Linked DNA regions of Canis lupus familiaris. The protein of the gene in region 3 purifies or fractionates together with the protein of the main gene of each other region. This does not show direct contact. Links are inferred from orthologs where the notes say so. Each region holds a gene or a part of one and is shown on either strand. Other genes may lie near its edges.

Region 1 (4,173 bases), on a different chromosome or scaffold from region 3:
CTTTCCTTTATTCTGATAGTCCATTATACACTGAATAAGATGGTTATTTTCATCCAACATCTGAAATAAAATTAGAAAAAGTTTATTATAAACGTAGTGCATCACATAAATTTTTTTTTAAATCCTTCAGATTTCTAGAAATGTTTATTCATAAAGGAACTGAATCTATTCAGTTCTTTTAAGTCTTATTCTACACCCCTGGAATGATATGTTTAATCAGTAATTTTCAAAGAACTATATTCCAATTATTCTCCCCTTAAATTATTACCTGAAGCCCTAAACGAGTTTCTTTTGTATTCAAACATTTTATTACTTCTGCTACTTGTAATATAAGATTTAGCCTGTTAAGACTAAAAGGTAAGGGTCAAAGCTAACTTTGCGTCATTCTTATGCTCTGCAGGAGTAAAGAAACATTTTGTCCTTATCCACAATGAATACATGAAAATATAAGCCCATAAAGCTTGAGGAGATAGCTGGCTAGTTTCCAAGTGTTATACAGTATGGTTCTGTGGTTCATATACCAAATACGGAATAATCAAATACGATAATTTCTATGAATATGTATTCGTTACAGACTTTACAAGCTTACCTTATAAATTAAGTTGTCCCAAGAGTTTAAAAACAAAAAGCATATCAACTTATCATTCTACTGTCTTATAACAATTCAAAGCAGTATTGGCTTAAAGGATTAAATAATTCATCTAAGTAAGGGTGCACTGAGGAAAGTACTGACATAGTAATGAAAAGACCAGTTAGTTTTAGTGCCAGCCTCACAATCCTATGCAAATCACTTACGATTTTAAAGACTCAGATTTATCTTAAGGTCAAGTGACAGGAGTAGATGTTCCTCCTGAACTTGTCCTACATTTCCAAGACTCGATAAACATAAAGTATAATACAATAATCACTCTACTTCAATAACTTAATGTAGCTCTTTTAATCAAAAACAAAAATCCACTGAATCTTGTGACTTTCTTCCCACATAAGAATCACAATATTCACTTGCTAGAAAAAAAAAAAAATATATTGACATGCTCTTCCAAAAAGTGCAGTTATTTCCTAAACAGAATCATCGGATGCCAAAAAAGAAAAAAAAAGTCTTTAAAATCCATTAGTCCAATCTAATGATTTCACAACATAATCTCTTCAGTTGAATACTCAACCTAACAAACTTCACTGGAGAATATGTCTCATTTCTAACATCAATCTCTCACACTGTAAAGTAAGGCTCTTAATTTAGAATCCGTTTTCTCTTCTCATTTCAGAATGAAAACTAATTGATCTGCATCTCCTGAGTAATCACTGGTAGTAAATATCTTAACATGTATGCAAGAAAAACTCTTTGAAAACCAACCAACCAGCCTTAGGACTCTTCTACGGTCCAAAATTTAAAAAAAAAAAAAAAAAAAAAAAAAATGAATCCCTCCAAAAACATGTCTTTCGTGCATGTACTTGGAGCTGTTTGCCAGGCTGCAGACTTAGCCCAACGCACTCTATGAAACTACCGCCACTTCCAGGCACTGACAGGCCGGTTTGTTCAAATAAATAAATAAATAAATAAATAAAGCAACAGTTGGGCAAATGTCAAATGCCACGCGAGAAAGAAGGTGACAGTCAACAGAAGCCCGTTAACATAATCTGCCGGCATACAACGGTGCCTGAGGGGTACGAAAAAGTGGACTTTTCTTCGGTTTTCATCTTCATCCCAATGGATACAACAGAACCGCGATACCTAAGGTAAACTGCCGAATTTACCAAGTAACTTTTCAAAGTCTGGTTGACTAAAATTCAGATTACGGTCTTGCTCATCGGCAACAAGGGACAGCGGACAATAAAGCAGCTTTGTTTGTGTCCCTAGCTGGCAGGCAGCGGAGCAGCGACCGAGGCAGCACCCCCCTCCCCCGTGCAGGGAGCACCACTGCGTTCCAGGTCACGACGGCCGGGTGGTCTCCGGGGCTAGACCGCGGTCACCACTGCAGGCTCAGCACCCGGCGCAGGCGCTCAGAGCGGACCTGCCGCAGATGCACACGGCTAGGGGGTGAAGCCGGAAGGGACGAGGACGTCGGAGGGGACCCCCGAGTCCACAGGGGCCTCCTTCGCCCGCCCCTCAGGCGCCTGCGGCGTCCCCCCGACTTCTCCCGGGAGCTCCCCAAGGCGGCGGGAGCGCGCGGCGCGGCGGGGGGCGGCGGGGGGCGGCGGAGGGCGGCGACCCACGCTGCGACTTCCCCTCGGCCTCCCGCGACGCGAGGTCGGGTGTGCGGCAGCGGCGGCGGCCGCGGCGCGCGGGGCGGGGCGACGCCGAAGTAACTCCGGAGCGGCGCGCGGGGCCGCGGGGGGCGCCGGCTCCCACACACCGCCCTTCCCCGCGCGGCCGTCGGCGCCGCCGGGCGCACGCGCCCCGCCGCCCGAACGCCGCCCCATCCCCGGAGAAATCCGGCGGCGGCTACTTGGGCTTTTGTGCCCGCAGGAGAGAGCCCAGAGGCGCCAAGGGCTCCGTGGGGGGGCTGGTTCGCCGCCTTCCGCCGCCCACTCGGGCACAGCCCGCGGCTCGGGTTCCCACACGCGACCGCCTCCCAGCAGGCCCGCCTCCGCCCCCCGCCCGGCCGACTCCCGGGCCGGCCCCCGGCGGCGCCCCCGAGGGCGGGATGGGCCTGGCATCCCCGACCCCGCGAGGCTTCACCTTCTGGATCGCGGCGGGGGTGATCTCCCCCTTGCCTCGCTGCCTCGGGGCTGCGAACGCCACGGACATGTTGCCGCCGTCACCACTACGGGCAAGTCCCGAGCGCTCCGGGGGAACGGCAAACTGGGGGAGAGACGCCGGCCTCTCGGGCCGAACCACCTCGGGAACGCGGGGAGGGGGGATGCTCCGGCGCCGACCGCGCAGCCGGCCGGCCCGGCCCCCAGCTCTTCCTCGGGCGCGTCGCAGTCGGGGGCCGGCGCGGGACCCGGCGCCGCAGCCCCCGCGGCGCTGCCCGGCTCTCGGCCGACCTCCCGCCCTCCGCCCCTCGCTGGGCCGTCCCCCCCGCGCCGTCGGAGCTAGTGGTAGGGCCGCGCCCCAGTCCTCCCTCCGCTTCAGCGATTCAGGAAATGGTCCCGCCGCCGCGGGAGAAGGAGAGGCTGGGGCAGACCCTGTCACAGGAAATGCGAGCGCCCGAGCCGGCCCGCCCCTTTCGCGCGGTGCCACTTGCCTGCCTCTCCTGCGCGCTGAGCCGCCCTCCGCCTGCGCTTCGGCGCTCGGCTCGAGACCCGATTCAGTTCTGTCAACTTCATCCTCAGCGGCCCCCGCCCCCGGGAAGAAGGGGCCGGCCCGGGCTGTCCCGGCACCGGGTCAGGACCTGCGAGCTCGAGCCGCCCGGCGCCGCGCCTGCCGAGGGGAGCAGAGGTGGAAGGTGTAGGCGGCCGCGGATTCGCTGGTTCAAACCGCCCGGCTACGCCCCGGAGGCGCACCTCCGAGTCCGCAGCCTCGCAGGCGCACGGGCGCGCCCAACAGTCGGAAAGTCGGCGTGGCCGTGGCCCCAGTGGAGCAGGCCGGCTGCGCGCGGTCCCCGAGGCCGCCCACGGCCGGCCGCCGCGTGGGGCAAAGCCCTGGCACAGACGCGCGCCGAATTCGTCGGACGAGGAGCTTCGGGACTAAGTTTTGAGACCGAGCACCCTCACGGTTTTCCTTTTACAGTTACAGACTTGATTGCTTTGTAAATTAGGCCCAAGCTGCCAGGGTTCAAATCAGTGCGAGGGGAAAAAAAAAAAAAAAAATCCCAAAGCTCTCAAACTAGGGCAGGAACACGGGTCAAATGTGGGTAAGGTACTGGCCCTGGGGAGGGGCGGGGGTTGGGGGTGTAATTATTCTGTAAATGTGGACTTCCATAGAACACAAAGGAAACGTTTATGTAAGACGTAGCCGTCGCCCAACGGTAATGAGGCTCAAAAACAACTCTTTCATTTACATATAAAACTGGGGAAAAAAACTAAGAAAAAATGCATATTTTAAAGTTTTTGTTTCAAATATATGCTCTTCACGAGAGGCCCTAAGTTTCATTAAGCAAACGTTGGTAGTTTTGTGTGCTAGGCACCTGGGATATAGCGGTCATACGGTGGACATGGAACCTGCTCTCATGGAGCTTATATTCTGACAAGGCTGACAGATTAGAAACAAGTATGTAAATATGTAAACTT
Region 2 (4,269 bases), on a different chromosome or scaffold from region 3:
AAGTTCCTCTGCTAGACTAGATAAGCTCTAACATATTCTACATGAGGGAGACCCCTAGCATGAGAAGCTGGGCAGAGTGAGTCTCTGTTGCTTATGTCCGTAATTCAAGATACACCGACAAACCACGCTCTGGAATCCGAGGGGGGCTTCTCAGAGCAGTCACAATATAGTACTTAGGCACAGCTTAGTATGTTCCCAAGCAACTGAAAAAGACATACATCACACACAAGGCGATGCCTGGCTTGATTCAATGAGCAGTAATGCCTGTAATTTGAGGTAAGCATGAATTTTGTGTTGGAGAGTGAAGAGAAGGGAACAGGCTCACATTAGCTGGCCTTTAGGAGGCAGCCATGTCCTCACCACACAGAGGAAAATTGGATAAACAGGCCGAGTGCAGCAGCTCCTTTGTTTCTGCTGATGGGAATGGATACTGACACTGGAAGTCAAATGGAAGGACGGAGAGACAGGCTGAGGGCTGCAAAGTCACAGCATGGAGGCCAGAATTGGTTTTTTTTGGGGAACAATGAGAGATGTTCTATCAAAGCACTTGTGAGTTAAGTGGGATTTCAGAAGGTGGTTCAAACTGTCTTGTGAGTAAGAGAACTGGGAATGAAATGCCTAAGTTGGGGGGGGAGAGAGAATCTGATGAGGAGAAACTAAGAGAGAGTGAGAGAATTCATAAATAAGAAAATTCTCTCAGAACAAGATGCAAGCCAGAGAAGATGAGCTAGTAGTGCTGACCTCAATGTATAACCTCAGCTGTTCAAAAAACAAGCATACCACGATCAAGAGAAGCTCCAGAAAAGTATCTCTCTCCTGGGTGAGAATAGTACAGGAAGACTGGAAACCCCTTCTCAAAGGGCAAGTTTTGTAAGGAAATGTATTAATTGCGGTCCATAGTCCTCTGCAGCTAGAACTGAGGAGAAAGTTGGTTTCTCGTTACTAGTACTCAGGAACTAGTGGCTGGTGCCCCTCACAATCTCTGTAGTCCCTTTAATAGAAGTAAGTCATGCTCTGTTGAAATGGGCAACTCCTCCCTTCTAGTACTACATGAAAGGGTTGACAACTCTATTCCCCTGAAGAAAGTCTTCCAACATAAAGTCCCATTACCCGTGAACTCGCAAAACCTAGGCAAGTCTTACATTCCCCCAGTACAGTAAATTTCCAAGGTAGGAGCTCTGATTCTTTTCTGGGAAGCATGAAAACTGTGTAAAACCTCCCTTTACAATGGGATTGGGGTGGAGGGTAATCAACAAAGAGAAACGCAGGGAAACAAAGAACAGGAGTCAGGAAGGATAACTATATAAATGGTAGATCAACAGCGACATTTCTAAATTGAGGGAAATGTCAGCCTGAAGAAAGAGCTGGGGGAAACTGGAGTGGGCAGATCAGAGAGAAAGATAATAGTGTTGGGAGGAGGGGTAGCTGAAAAGAGGCCGCAGGATGGAGCTGAAAGCAAGTTAAAAAAAAAAAAAAAAAAAAACCCACAGGAGGAGAAGAAGGCACTTAGCTTAATGGAAGTGGGAATGCATTCTCAAAGAAAAGGCTCCAGGCGGGGAGGGGTGGGGGTGGGGGGATGTGGGCAAAGCAACGTACTCTCCATAAAGACTCTTGGGAAGAGTGGGGGCTCAGCCCACCACAAAGGCAGCTGAGAAGCTGAGTCCCTCAGAATAGTTCCAAATCTTTACCTTGTCATCCAGTCAAAATCCACAAGCCCTGCCTGGACAACTAGTCACCTCTCAATTTTCCCACCTCTGCACCAAGCCCAATTCACCCATTAAACAGAGTTCGCTCTATTCGTCCACCAGGTACGAACCCATTTCGATCTTCTTCAGGGAGGAGGCTGGGTTAAATCAAGTCCCAAAGCATTTTTAACTCACGGCCAACAGACCACACTCCATTTCCCCAACAACCATGAACTTTAACTTTGCTCGCAGCCTGCCCAGCAGCAGGGGACTGACTGCACAGCGCGCAGCACGCCGACCTAGATGCCCCTCTAGGCTGCAGAGGCGTCCTGGACCGCTTCCGTCCACTTCCCGTTTTTCGGTGGCTGGACTGGCCGGCGCAAAGGCCCTCAAGTTCTTTCCTTGCTGCATCCGCACCTCAACAAATTCTTCCCAATAATGTTTTTGGTCTCGGGTATCAGATACTCAAGACCCCCACCCCCCACCCCCGGACGTCACAGGGCTGTTAAAACAGCCCCGCCATGCTTAACCACGCAAGGGCTGCTGAGCCTGTTGCTCCAGGAACTGCTGCGGGCAGCGGGGCGGGAAGGGGGGGCGCCTGGCTTCGCGGGGACGCGGGTGGGTCCCGGGGCCGCCCTCGGCCCGGCCCGGCCCCTCCGCACCGAGGCGTCTGGTCTCGGGAGCGCACTCAGACCGTGTTTCTCGTCTGCAACGTGGGCGCCATACTCAGGACACCGCGAGCCCGAAGGAGCGCTCAGCCCGCACAGCCCCGCAGGGAGGCTGCCCGTAAGGGGCTCCCGTGTGCCCCCCTCAGGGCCTCCACAAGTTTCCAAAGAAGCGCAACGTCTTCCTGTGAGTCTCCTGTTGCCCTCCCTACTAGGAGTCGCAACAAGGCTTTCTCGGGCACGTCCTTCCCTCCGCCTAGTCCCCTGCCGCGCCGCCCCCTACTCCCAGGCCCATTACAAGACCTCCTGGCCTAGGAGAGAAAGAAACCACTACTCACAGCTTCACTACATTTTCTACCACAGCCGCCATCTTCCCTGCTCCTCTCCCTCAGGCCGGGAGGCCCGGAGCCCTCAGCGCGCAGGCGCAGGGACCGCACCGGGGAACCGGTTTCCTCGTTCCTCTGCGCAGGCGCCGCCCGAGCACGCGCGCCCGAGAGCAGCTTCGTGACTGTCCACAGGGGCGGGGGAGCCCAGGGAGCCCAACGCGCAGGCGCGACGGGCACGGGGGCGGGGAGCCCGGGGTCTTCCACCGTGAGGACCGGACCGGGGAGGGAGCGTCTGGGCTGGTACAGAAAGGAGAGGATTGATGAAATGATGACATGAAGCTGGTGAAAACTGGAGGCCCAGAGTTAGGCTAGATGGAGCCTATGCGTACTGCTGCCTCACCGACCTTTAACCTTGTGGTTAACCCTTTGTCCTCACTCACGGGCGCGGGGAGGGGGCTGTTGGTGGACAGCAGAAGACGGTGCACCATCCGCTTGGGCCTCCAGTCGTGTGCCCGTTCAGGGAGAGGAAGATTAACGTCCCGAACTGAGCAGTTCTTTGGCATGAGTATTGGAGTCTTGGCAAAAATTGCCTCCCCTTCCTCCCACAAAACCCTGCCACCAACTTCAGTGCTACCCACCTCCCTTGCTTCCTACTTCTGTCCCTCCAATTAGGCTCTAAGAACTTCCCTCCTGCAATTATCCCTGAATCTTTCGTACCATTCATTTCTCCTTCACCGTTGAATCGCAAATTCGTGTACAAACATGGCTTAACATCTTTAAAAATCAGAGCCCCTGTAAAAATAAAAAAAAATAAAAATAATAAAATAAAATAAAAATCAGAGCCCTGGGCAGCCCCGGTGGCTCAGCGGTTTAGCGCTGCCTTCAGCCCAGGGCCTGATCCTGGAGACCCGGGGTTGAGTCCCACGTCAGGCACCCTGCATGGAGCCTGCTTCTCCGGCCTGTGTCTCTGCCTCTCTCTCTCTCCCTCTCTCTGTGTCTCTCATGAATAAATAAATAATAAATAAATAATACAACAAAAATTACAAATTTAAAAAATAAAAATCAGAGAGCCCTTCCTGCAGCCCATGGTGGCCTTGGATTATCGTCCCATTTTTTCCATCCTTTCAAGGCAAAGTTTCTGTTTATACTCCGTATCTCTGCTGACTTATTTCCAAGGCCCCTTCTGCCCAGTTTAATGATTTTGTTCCTACTGGTTCGTTGAAACACAGACACCATGACACCACTGACCATTCCCTCCTTTTTCCTTTTTAAAGATTTATTTATTTAAGAAAGAGAGCGTGTGAAAGGAGGGGGTGAGAAGAAGAGGGAGAGGGATATGCTGAGCAAGGAGCCCGATGGGGGTGGGGGTGCTTGATCCCATGACTCTGAGATCATGACCTAAGCCAACATCAAGAGTCCAGCGTTCAACCCACATTCCCCCCACATTCCCTCCTTTTTCAAGCTCTTTTCAGGGTCTCTGAGACCAGCATTCTCTTAGATGTGCTCTAAGCACACTGAAGTTCCTTTACCTCTTTTGTTAAGTCTGTCCTTTGTTCCACTTGTAAATGTCACAGTCCTCAGGCCATGGTCTTT
Region 3 (3,560 bases):
GACACTCAACCCACTGAGCCATCCAGGCGCACTTCAATAATCATTTCTAAAGGCAAAGACTCAAATGGACTTTGACTGTAATAAGTGCAACTTCTGATACATAGAAGCATTACAAACATTGCAGTTGATGGAAAATGTCAAATTCGGGGGGATTTTTGTCACAGACCAGCACAGCACAGAGGGCCTAGGTGACTGCAGACAAGGCATTTAGCACCTGGAGTCTGATGCTGCTAAGCAATAAAACAGATCCAGTAATTTCCACCTCTACCTCCCATTAAGCAACATTATGAGGTTAAATGCAATAAAAACTGACGTACTCTGAGCCATTTCAAGAGAAATCTGTTTTACACATCCCAATAAAAGGACATCTCAAAATATTTTCCTTGTGTGAAGCAGGATAAAAGGGACATGTCACAAAATCCTCAAGAGACAAGTGCACTGCAGAAATGCTGAGGATCTTCAGTCCTGGGGTGTCACTTCGGCATATGCCCGAGTGACAGCAGTTTCATCACCCAGTCTGGCTGCTGTCTGCCCCGTGCATGAGCCTGAACCTCAAATGCTATTATAACTCTAATTGCATTTGGTTATGGTTGATCTCACTTGAAGAAAGAGTGATAAAAAACTTCAGTTTCTCTGTTATCTGTATATTCCATCATTTAATTGCAAAAATTAATGATTTGCAAATGCCTAATCATTAGTGTCAAGCCAATCTGTTACTGAAGTTCTAATATAGTTTCACTCCAGTTGAATCAGACAAATTTGACTGCTTGCTGCTCAGATCACTATGAAATGGCCTCCCTAGCTAGTTAGAAATCTAGCGGACAGTCCTCTCCTTTCCCCCACTCCACCAAAAAAAAAAGGAGGGGGACATGGGGGTGGGTGGTGAGATTTAGTAGCACCTGGACGCAGAGACTTTTAAAACACAGTGTTTACTCTCCAGAATCCAAAAAAGATAATGAACACAAAATGCCAACCATAATCCCATCAAGGAAGACAGAGTCACTTGAAATTTTCCAGGGATGTAATTAGGGGCCAAGGCTAACGATTTCATCTCCATCCCATACTCCGGCATTATGTCTGATAGAATGTGCAGTATCCCCTCATTATAGATCACACACACTTTTCTGAAATCCACGGTGTGCTCTGGGGTCCAGTTCCAAAAATGAATGGTCAATAAAGCTGGATACCCAGGCCAACGATGTAAACCAATCCCTTCTGTATTTAACCGTCCATTAAGAAAATAACAGCACAAATGTAATGATCCACGAATAGCCTTTGACAATAAAACAGCCATAACCGAAAAAGTAACATTTCAAAATTAACTTAAAAATCACTTTTTACTCTGTTAGGAAGAATTTTCTACCACTAAAAAAAAAAAAAAAAAAAAGATAAGCACCAGAGGCTTCAAAAAACAGACCTTCTTTGAGTCTAAGACACACAACTTCATGACACACTCACTCAAAACAACCTGTGTCATTAGTCTCAAAGAGGCAATATTTTAAAAAGAACGACCATATCCATCCTTCTAGATTTGTTTGGTAAGCCTCCTACAAACTGTACCTGCCTTGATGTGAGAAGCTATCCCCTGCATGGCAAGGCTACCCCAGGATACAGAGATATTATACACTCATCAGCTGTGGCCATGGATTTGCGGCATGCGTTGTCGAGGAAGGAGAAGGTGCTTTCACTCTATTCACATTTAGTTCAAAGGGGCGTGTTCATGTATCTGATAAGCTGCTTTTACCCACTCTTGCTATGGTGTATTTAACACCCACAATACAGGTGTATGCAAGGACCCCACGGGCCTGGGTCCCCGCAGGCAAGCCCCTTACCATCAGTCTGCGCATTCTCTCCTTCTCGATTCGCTCCGTCTCTTTTTTCTGCTCTCTCTCAGTGTTGGCGTGCCAAGTTGCCACCGCTTTGGACAGCTTCTGGATCTTCCCAGCCACAGACCGATGGTACTCCTTGAAATCCTTTGCATGTTGCAAAATGCTGTTCAGGTATTCCTACAGGACCCAAAGGGAGAAGGAAAAGGACGCTTAAAGTCTATTTCCCAATGTCATCTGAGATTTCAGTGCAGCCCAGGAAAACGCTCAGTGAGCACTTCACAACAGTGGAAGACTAGAATCTTCTGTGAGGCAGGTGCCCTGCTATGTCTCCTGGTAGCTGAGCTGTGGGCTCTGGGGCTGGTGGGAAGAGGCGCCAGCTTGTGGAAGAGAAGCGTCTAGGACCATGGATATGGCCTCATGAAAAAAAGCAAAACCAAGGATTAACAGAAGCCCGCAAAATGGTGAGGACAAATTTAAAGCAAATCACCCTTGAATCAACCCGAGGGAAGCAGATATTTCTAGTGAGAGCCAGGTTATAAAAGTAATGCCTCTTCTGCTCTGACTTAAATGCCTTAGCCCCGAAATTTGAAATCAGGTGCGGGAGGGGCAGCTAAAATCACTGCACAGAGTTTGGACTGACTTTTTAAATAAAGGCGAGGAAATGCGAACCAACGAAAACCTGACATTTTTCAAAATAAAACTGAAGCCGGGGCACTAAATTAAGCCCAGGAAAACAAACAAAATTTGTAGGACTGCAATGCAAAAATCAAATCCTACATCAAACTATTTCCAAACCCCTAGAAAAGGATGTTTTAAAATATCTGTCCCTATGAAACCTCCAAGTGGGCCCTTGAAAAGCCCAGGAGACTGTATTTATATTTGCTATAAGAACTACTGGTTTTGCTCTCCTCTTGCCTCTTCCAAGTGCCCGCTCCTCGGGATTTTGCCCCAGGCAGCCCACCCTTGCCCATCCAGCGGGGCACCAGCCAGGGGGATGAGGAGGGAGACACCTGCCTGGAATGCAGAAAGCAGGGTCCTCCAGCAGCCCGGCAGGGCCTCCCTGCACCTTACATGGGGCGGCTGGACCGTGGGAGCTCCAGGGGACCTTTCTGCTCTGGGATGTGCCCACTGCCCACCATGGGATGTCCTTCAGTCCTTCTGGCTCCATCGGAGCTCTTGGTCAGGGTGGGGGGCACCTCTGCCCACATGGAGCGGGGGGGGGGGGGTGCCCCACCACCCACACCTCCGTACCTGGTGCTTCTGGCGGCGCTTCCTCTCCTGCTCGATCTTTTGCTGCTTCTCCAGCTTCTCTGTCATGCGGGCCTCCCGCAGGGTCTGGCGCTTGCTCCGCTTGTAGGCTTTGGAGTTGAGGGCCGTCTCCAGGGTTGTGTCCCGTCGCATGCAGGCCACCACCTCCTGTCTCAGCTGTCAAGGGAAGGGAGCAGTTGGAGAGGCTGCGGACACAGAGGCCTGGCTCCTGGGCCCTGCCCTGCTCCAGCTCCCAGTTAGCGGGGCCGACTGCAGGGGCTCCACGAGGTTCCAACCACAGCTAGACTTTTGGTACACTGGGGGCCTGAATCACGCCAAATTTACGTGGTATTTTCAAAAATGGTATAAGTTTCCTTTCCACGCAATTCAGATAAAGGGGGATAAAACACACCAATGTATCCTGCACTACAGCACTATAAAAAAAAAAAAGCAGATGCTGTATTGGTTTTTAAATAAATTAAT
Region 4 (4,057 bases), on a different chromosome or scaffold from region 3:
TCCCATTAGTTCTAGAATCATCCCTTCTCTCCACATGCTGGTTCAGCTCTTCCAGTCCTCAGTCAGTCAGATGCTATTCCCAGGCTTCTCATTAGCAAGACAGCATATGCTTATCAAATCGTGATGTTAGTCATGAATGCCTGAACATAGTCAGAGGCTGTGTCGAGTTCGAGTTAGCTAGGCATTTTTCTGAGGCATACAGAAGGAGGTTTCTCTAGAGGTGAGAGAAGTAACCACTGCCAATCAATCAATGCAAACTGTCACCTGCTTCCTTTATGTCTCCTGAGGCTGTTACTCTATGAAGCCTCCCTAAATACCGCAGGCATCAATAAATATGGGGGAGGGAATGGAGAGCAAAGAAGCTGCTCTCAAAATTCAACATTCACCCAAATATTTATTGAGCATGTTCTACAATGTGTGGACACATGTCTTGGAGCAGTTGCACTTGTATCCCGTTTTCAGAGGTCGACTTCAAGGTTATATTTTCCCGGAAGCCTCTGGACACCCCTTATTTGGATTAGGACTACTTTAGCCTATCATTCATAAAATGGCATTTAAAAGGCCTGTTTTCTGGTCTGGATGTTCTGAACTGGAAGCTCTTTGAAGGCAAAAACCCAGGTTTTGTCCTCAGCATTGGCCACGTAGCCTTGCAGAACGCAAGCACCACTCAGTCAACGACTGCAGGATTAAATCAGACAGTGATGTAGAGTGCTAAGCGGAACCTGAGGATAGCAGGGGAAGGCTTCTCTGAGTTGGATCTGGATGTTAGTAGACTACGTGGTCAGTTCACAGGTAAAGTGATGAGAATTCCAGGAAGGGAGCCGGTGTGTGCCAAGTTAGGAGAATATACTGAATTAAGGTGTGAGATTCTGTGGTTAGAGCACAACAGTACTATCCGGAAAGCAAGGGAGCTGGAGAGGAGAGGCAACAGAACCGCGCACCCGTTCGGGTCAAATGCATAACACGTAGCTAAAGGCAGCAACCCCGGCAAGAGGGCAAAGGTGCCGACCTCCAAACCCCGAAAGGGAGCCCACGGGCAGCGCCTCGCACCTCGCCTTGCCCGCAGCACGTGCCGCCGCTCTTCGCGAACCGCGGCCTGCACGGGGGCAGACGGGAGACTCCTGGGGCGCCCAGGGAGGGCCGCCCGGGGCGGGGCGCGCAGGCGCGCTGAGGCCTCGAGCCCCAAGAGGCGGGCGGGTGCGCGCGCTTCCTCGCGCACGCGCGCACGGAGGGGGCGACGGCTGCGGTGACGCTGCTGCGGCGGGCAGGCGGCGGTGCGTGAGGCGCGCGATTCCCTGGGTCTTGGGAGCAGTGCCCCGGCCCCCGCCGCTCCCGCTGCCGCCATGTCGGGCCGGTCGGTCCGGGCAGAGACCCGCAGCCGGGCCAAGGACGACATCAAGAAGGTGATGGCGGCCATCGAGAAAGTGCGGAAATGGTGAGGGGCCGGACCCGAGGGTGCCGGCGGGGTCGCCAGCCCAGGCCCAGAGGAGCGCGAGACTGGCTGGCGGGGTGGGCGCCGACCGGCAGGCGCTGGGGGGAGGGGGGAGCGGGAGAAGGCGGGAGGAGGGTGCAGCTCGCGTCGGCGTGAGGTCAGAGGGCGCGCCGGCTGCCGCCAATCAGGGGGTCGCCCGGCTCGCGGGCCCGCCCACCTGCCCGAGGGCCGCGCGTCTCCCGGAGGGGCTGCGGGCTTCCGGCCGCCGTGGTGGCTGCGTGGCCTCGTTCGCGCGCCGCGCCCCACCCGGCGGGTCTCGGGAGCCTTGCTGCCTCTGAGCTGCCCGGCGTGGTAGCTGACAGTCTCGGGGGGTTTCCCGCCAGCCAGGCCGAGCGCTCTACGTGTTAACTCGTTTTAAGTTTGGTGAGAGCTGCTCGCTAAACCTGTCACGGGAGCAGCCGTGGTCAAGGGAATCAAAACCCGCCTTTCCCCCCAGTGCACTGGCCCGCACGCCGCCAGCTGGGTAGGCTGTTGATAAAGCAGTCGTCGAGACCTACCCTCATTTGGAAACGGCTTGTGTGATGTTCATTGCAGGGCCGGTTGGCCGCCTGTTTTGTATCAGGAACTTCGATGCATCATCACATTAAAAGTTTAACAGCCAACTGTTTGCTCCAACTTCTTGAGTCTTTTAATCTGGCCGACTGCTAGTAATAGTTTTAAAGCCCAGGTAGGGGTTAGCCTTCCTTCCAGAGACCTCTATCCACTCCAGGGGCATCATTACTTCAGGTGTTGTTTTTGTTTTTGCGTGTCTCTTCGTTTCCCTCACAAGTACCTTTTTTTTTTTTTTTTAAGATTTATTTATTTATTTATTTATTTAATTATAGACATAGAGAGAGGCAGGCTCCGTGCCAGGAGTCCGACGTGGGACTCGATCCCGGGACTCCAGGATGGCGCCCTGGGCCAAAGGCAGGCGCTAAACCGCTGGGCCACCCAGGGATCCCCCTCCCTCACAAGTTCCTTCCTTCCTTCCTTTCCTTCCGATTTTATTTATTCATGACAGAGAGAGAGAGAGAGAGGCTGAGACACAGGCAGAGAGAGAAACAGGCTCCACGCAGGGAGCTTGACCTGGGACTCGATCCCGGGACTCCAGGATCACACCCTGGGCTGAAGGCGGCACTAAACCACTGGGCCACCTGGGCTGCCCCTCCTTATTTCTTTATATATAAGAGCTTTATATGTAGTTGAGATTCATATATATTAAATAATTAATGATTTTTTTCCCTCCAAATCTAATCCTCCTAGGGTTGGGGTTTGTTTGTTTTTTGGTGAAACCTAAGAATCAGCACACCTTTCCTTTTCTTCTGGCCATCTCTGCTGAACCCTGACCCCCAGCCCCAGCAGTCTGGCCAGAGGACCATCCTCTCTCATCTGGAACTCTTGGCTTTCTTCAACTCTCATTACCCAGTCCATTCATCACATTGCACTCAGAGTGATTTCACTTTTCAGTGTAAATATTATCATAGCATTCCCCTGCTATAGAAACAATGCTTCAGTGACCTCTTCTTGCTCTTAGGTTAAAGACCAAAGATGGTCTTCCTACCTCACTGGACTGGCTCAGACTGCCCTCTTTCCCCGTGTGGCTTGCCATCTTTCAGCGGGAGCCACAGGAAGCCTGGTATCATCTACCTTCTCCTCCTTGACTAGTTAACTACTCATTCCTTGACCAGTTAACTACTCACAAAAATTGCTTTCTCAAGGGACACCTTTTAAGATTTCTAATCTAAATCAGGTCCCCTTCATAGAACTTTCCACAATTGTATTAGATTGAATAATAAGACATTTCCTTTTTTTTTTTATTTTTATTTTTATTTATTTATGATAGTCACAGAGAGAGAGAGGCAGAGACAGGCAGAGGGAGAAGCAGGCTCCATGCACCAGGAGCCCGACGTGGGATTCGATCCCGGGTCTCCAGGATCACGCCCTGAGCCAAAGGCAGGCGCCAAACCACTGCGCCACCCAGGGATCCCAATAAGACATTTCCTATATTTGACTTTTTAACTTAACTGAAGTGGCAGTTTGATGTGGTTAAGTCTAATGATTAAGCAACTATGAAATGAGTTGTTTGATTTCTGTTTCCAATTGGAATGAGGCTCTGTGAGGGTAGGGACTGTACATCTTGCTGCCTGTGTGCCCAAGGTCTAGCACAGGATCATGAGGAAGTGGAGTGCTCAGTCCAGGAATTAATTTCAGTTTGCTAAGTCTGTAGTTGATTCTTCTTTCTGTTTGTTGAACGGCATCATCAATATCAGCAGTCACAACACTTGCTTTTTTTGCTTTTCTGGAACCTCACATTTGGATTTGAAACTTTCACAAGTCATTCTTCAGGCTCCCCAGCTCTGCTTGTCCATAATCTAATCCTTATTCAAGAATGTCACTTGCATTCCCCCAAAACTGGGGGAAAATTTTTTTTTAGGCTTAACTTTTTAAAAAAGATTTTATTTATTTATTCATGAGAGACACAGAGAGGCAGAGACATAGGCAGAGGGAGAAGCAGGCTCCCTGTGGGGAGCCTGATATGGGACTCAATCCCAGGACCCTGGGATCACCACCTGAGCCAAAGGCAGA

The links. Proteins that work in one complex are often made in the same cells at the same time.
Region 1: the proteins of SMARCA2 (region 3) and SS18 purify together in Homo sapiens (affinity purification with mass spectrometry; 6 studies listed by BioGRID and IntAct, counting the BioPlex papers as one, with this or other methods). This does not show direct contact. The link is inferred for Canis lupus familiaris from reciprocal best matches to the Homo sapiens genes SMARCA2 and SS18.
Region 2: the proteins of SMARCA2 (region 3) and DPF2 purify together in Homo sapiens (affinity purification with mass spectrometry; 6 studies listed by BioGRID and IntAct, counting the BioPlex papers as one, with this or other methods). This does not show direct contact. The link is inferred for Canis lupus familiaris from reciprocal best matches to the Homo sapiens genes SMARCA2 and DPF2.
Region 4: the proteins of SMARCA2 (region 3) and BCL7B purify together in Homo sapiens (affinity purification with mass spectrometry; 3 studies listed by BioGRID, with this or other methods). This does not show direct contact. The link is inferred for Canis lupus familiaris from reciprocal best matches to the Homo sapiens genes SMARCA2 and BCL7B.

What each region holds. Positions count from the first base shown.
Region 1 is NC_049228.1:62,527,689-62,531,861, reverse strand, and holds the start of SS18 (protein SSXT), read right to left. Parts: upstream 2,840-4,173; 5' UTR 2,750-2,839; coding exon 2,681-2,749; intron 2,166-2,680; exon of another isoform or gene 1,859-2,165; intron 1,738-1,858; exon of another isoform or gene 1,266-1,737; intron 61-1,265; coding exon 1-60. UniProt on the Homo sapiens protein: Appears to function synergistically with RBM14 as a transcriptional coactivator. Isoform 1 and isoform 2 function in nuclear receptor coactivation. Isoform 1 and isoform 2 function in general transcriptional coactivation.
Region 2 is NC_049239.1:52,349,177-52,353,445, forward strand, and holds the start of DPF2 (zinc finger protein ubi-d4), read right to left. Parts: upstream 2,840-4,269; 5' UTR 2,721-2,839; coding exon 2,689-2,720; intron 1-2,688. UniProt on the Homo sapiens protein: Plays an active role in transcriptional regulation by binding modified histones H3 and H4. Is a negative regulator of myeloid differentiation of hematopoietic progenitor cells. Might also have a role in the development and maturation of lymphoid cells.
Region 3 is NC_049222.1:91,431,954-91,435,513, reverse strand, and holds part of SMARCA2 (probable global transcription activator SNF2L2), read right to left. Parts: intron 3,255-3,560; coding exon 3,081-3,254; intron 2,007-3,080; coding exon 1,833-2,006; intron 1-1,832. UniProt on the Homo sapiens protein: ATPase involved in transcriptional activation and repression of select genes by chromatin remodeling (alteration of DNA-nucleosome topology).
Region 4 is NC_049227.1:6,595,282-6,599,338, forward strand, and holds the start of BCL7B (B-cell CLL/lymphoma 7 protein family member B), read left to right. Parts: upstream 1-1,218; 5' UTR 1,219-1,343; coding exon 1,344-1,435; intron 1,436-4,057. UniProt on the Homo sapiens protein: Positive regulator of apoptosis. Plays a role in the Wnt signaling pathway, negatively regulating the expression of Wnt signaling components CTNNB1 and HMGA1.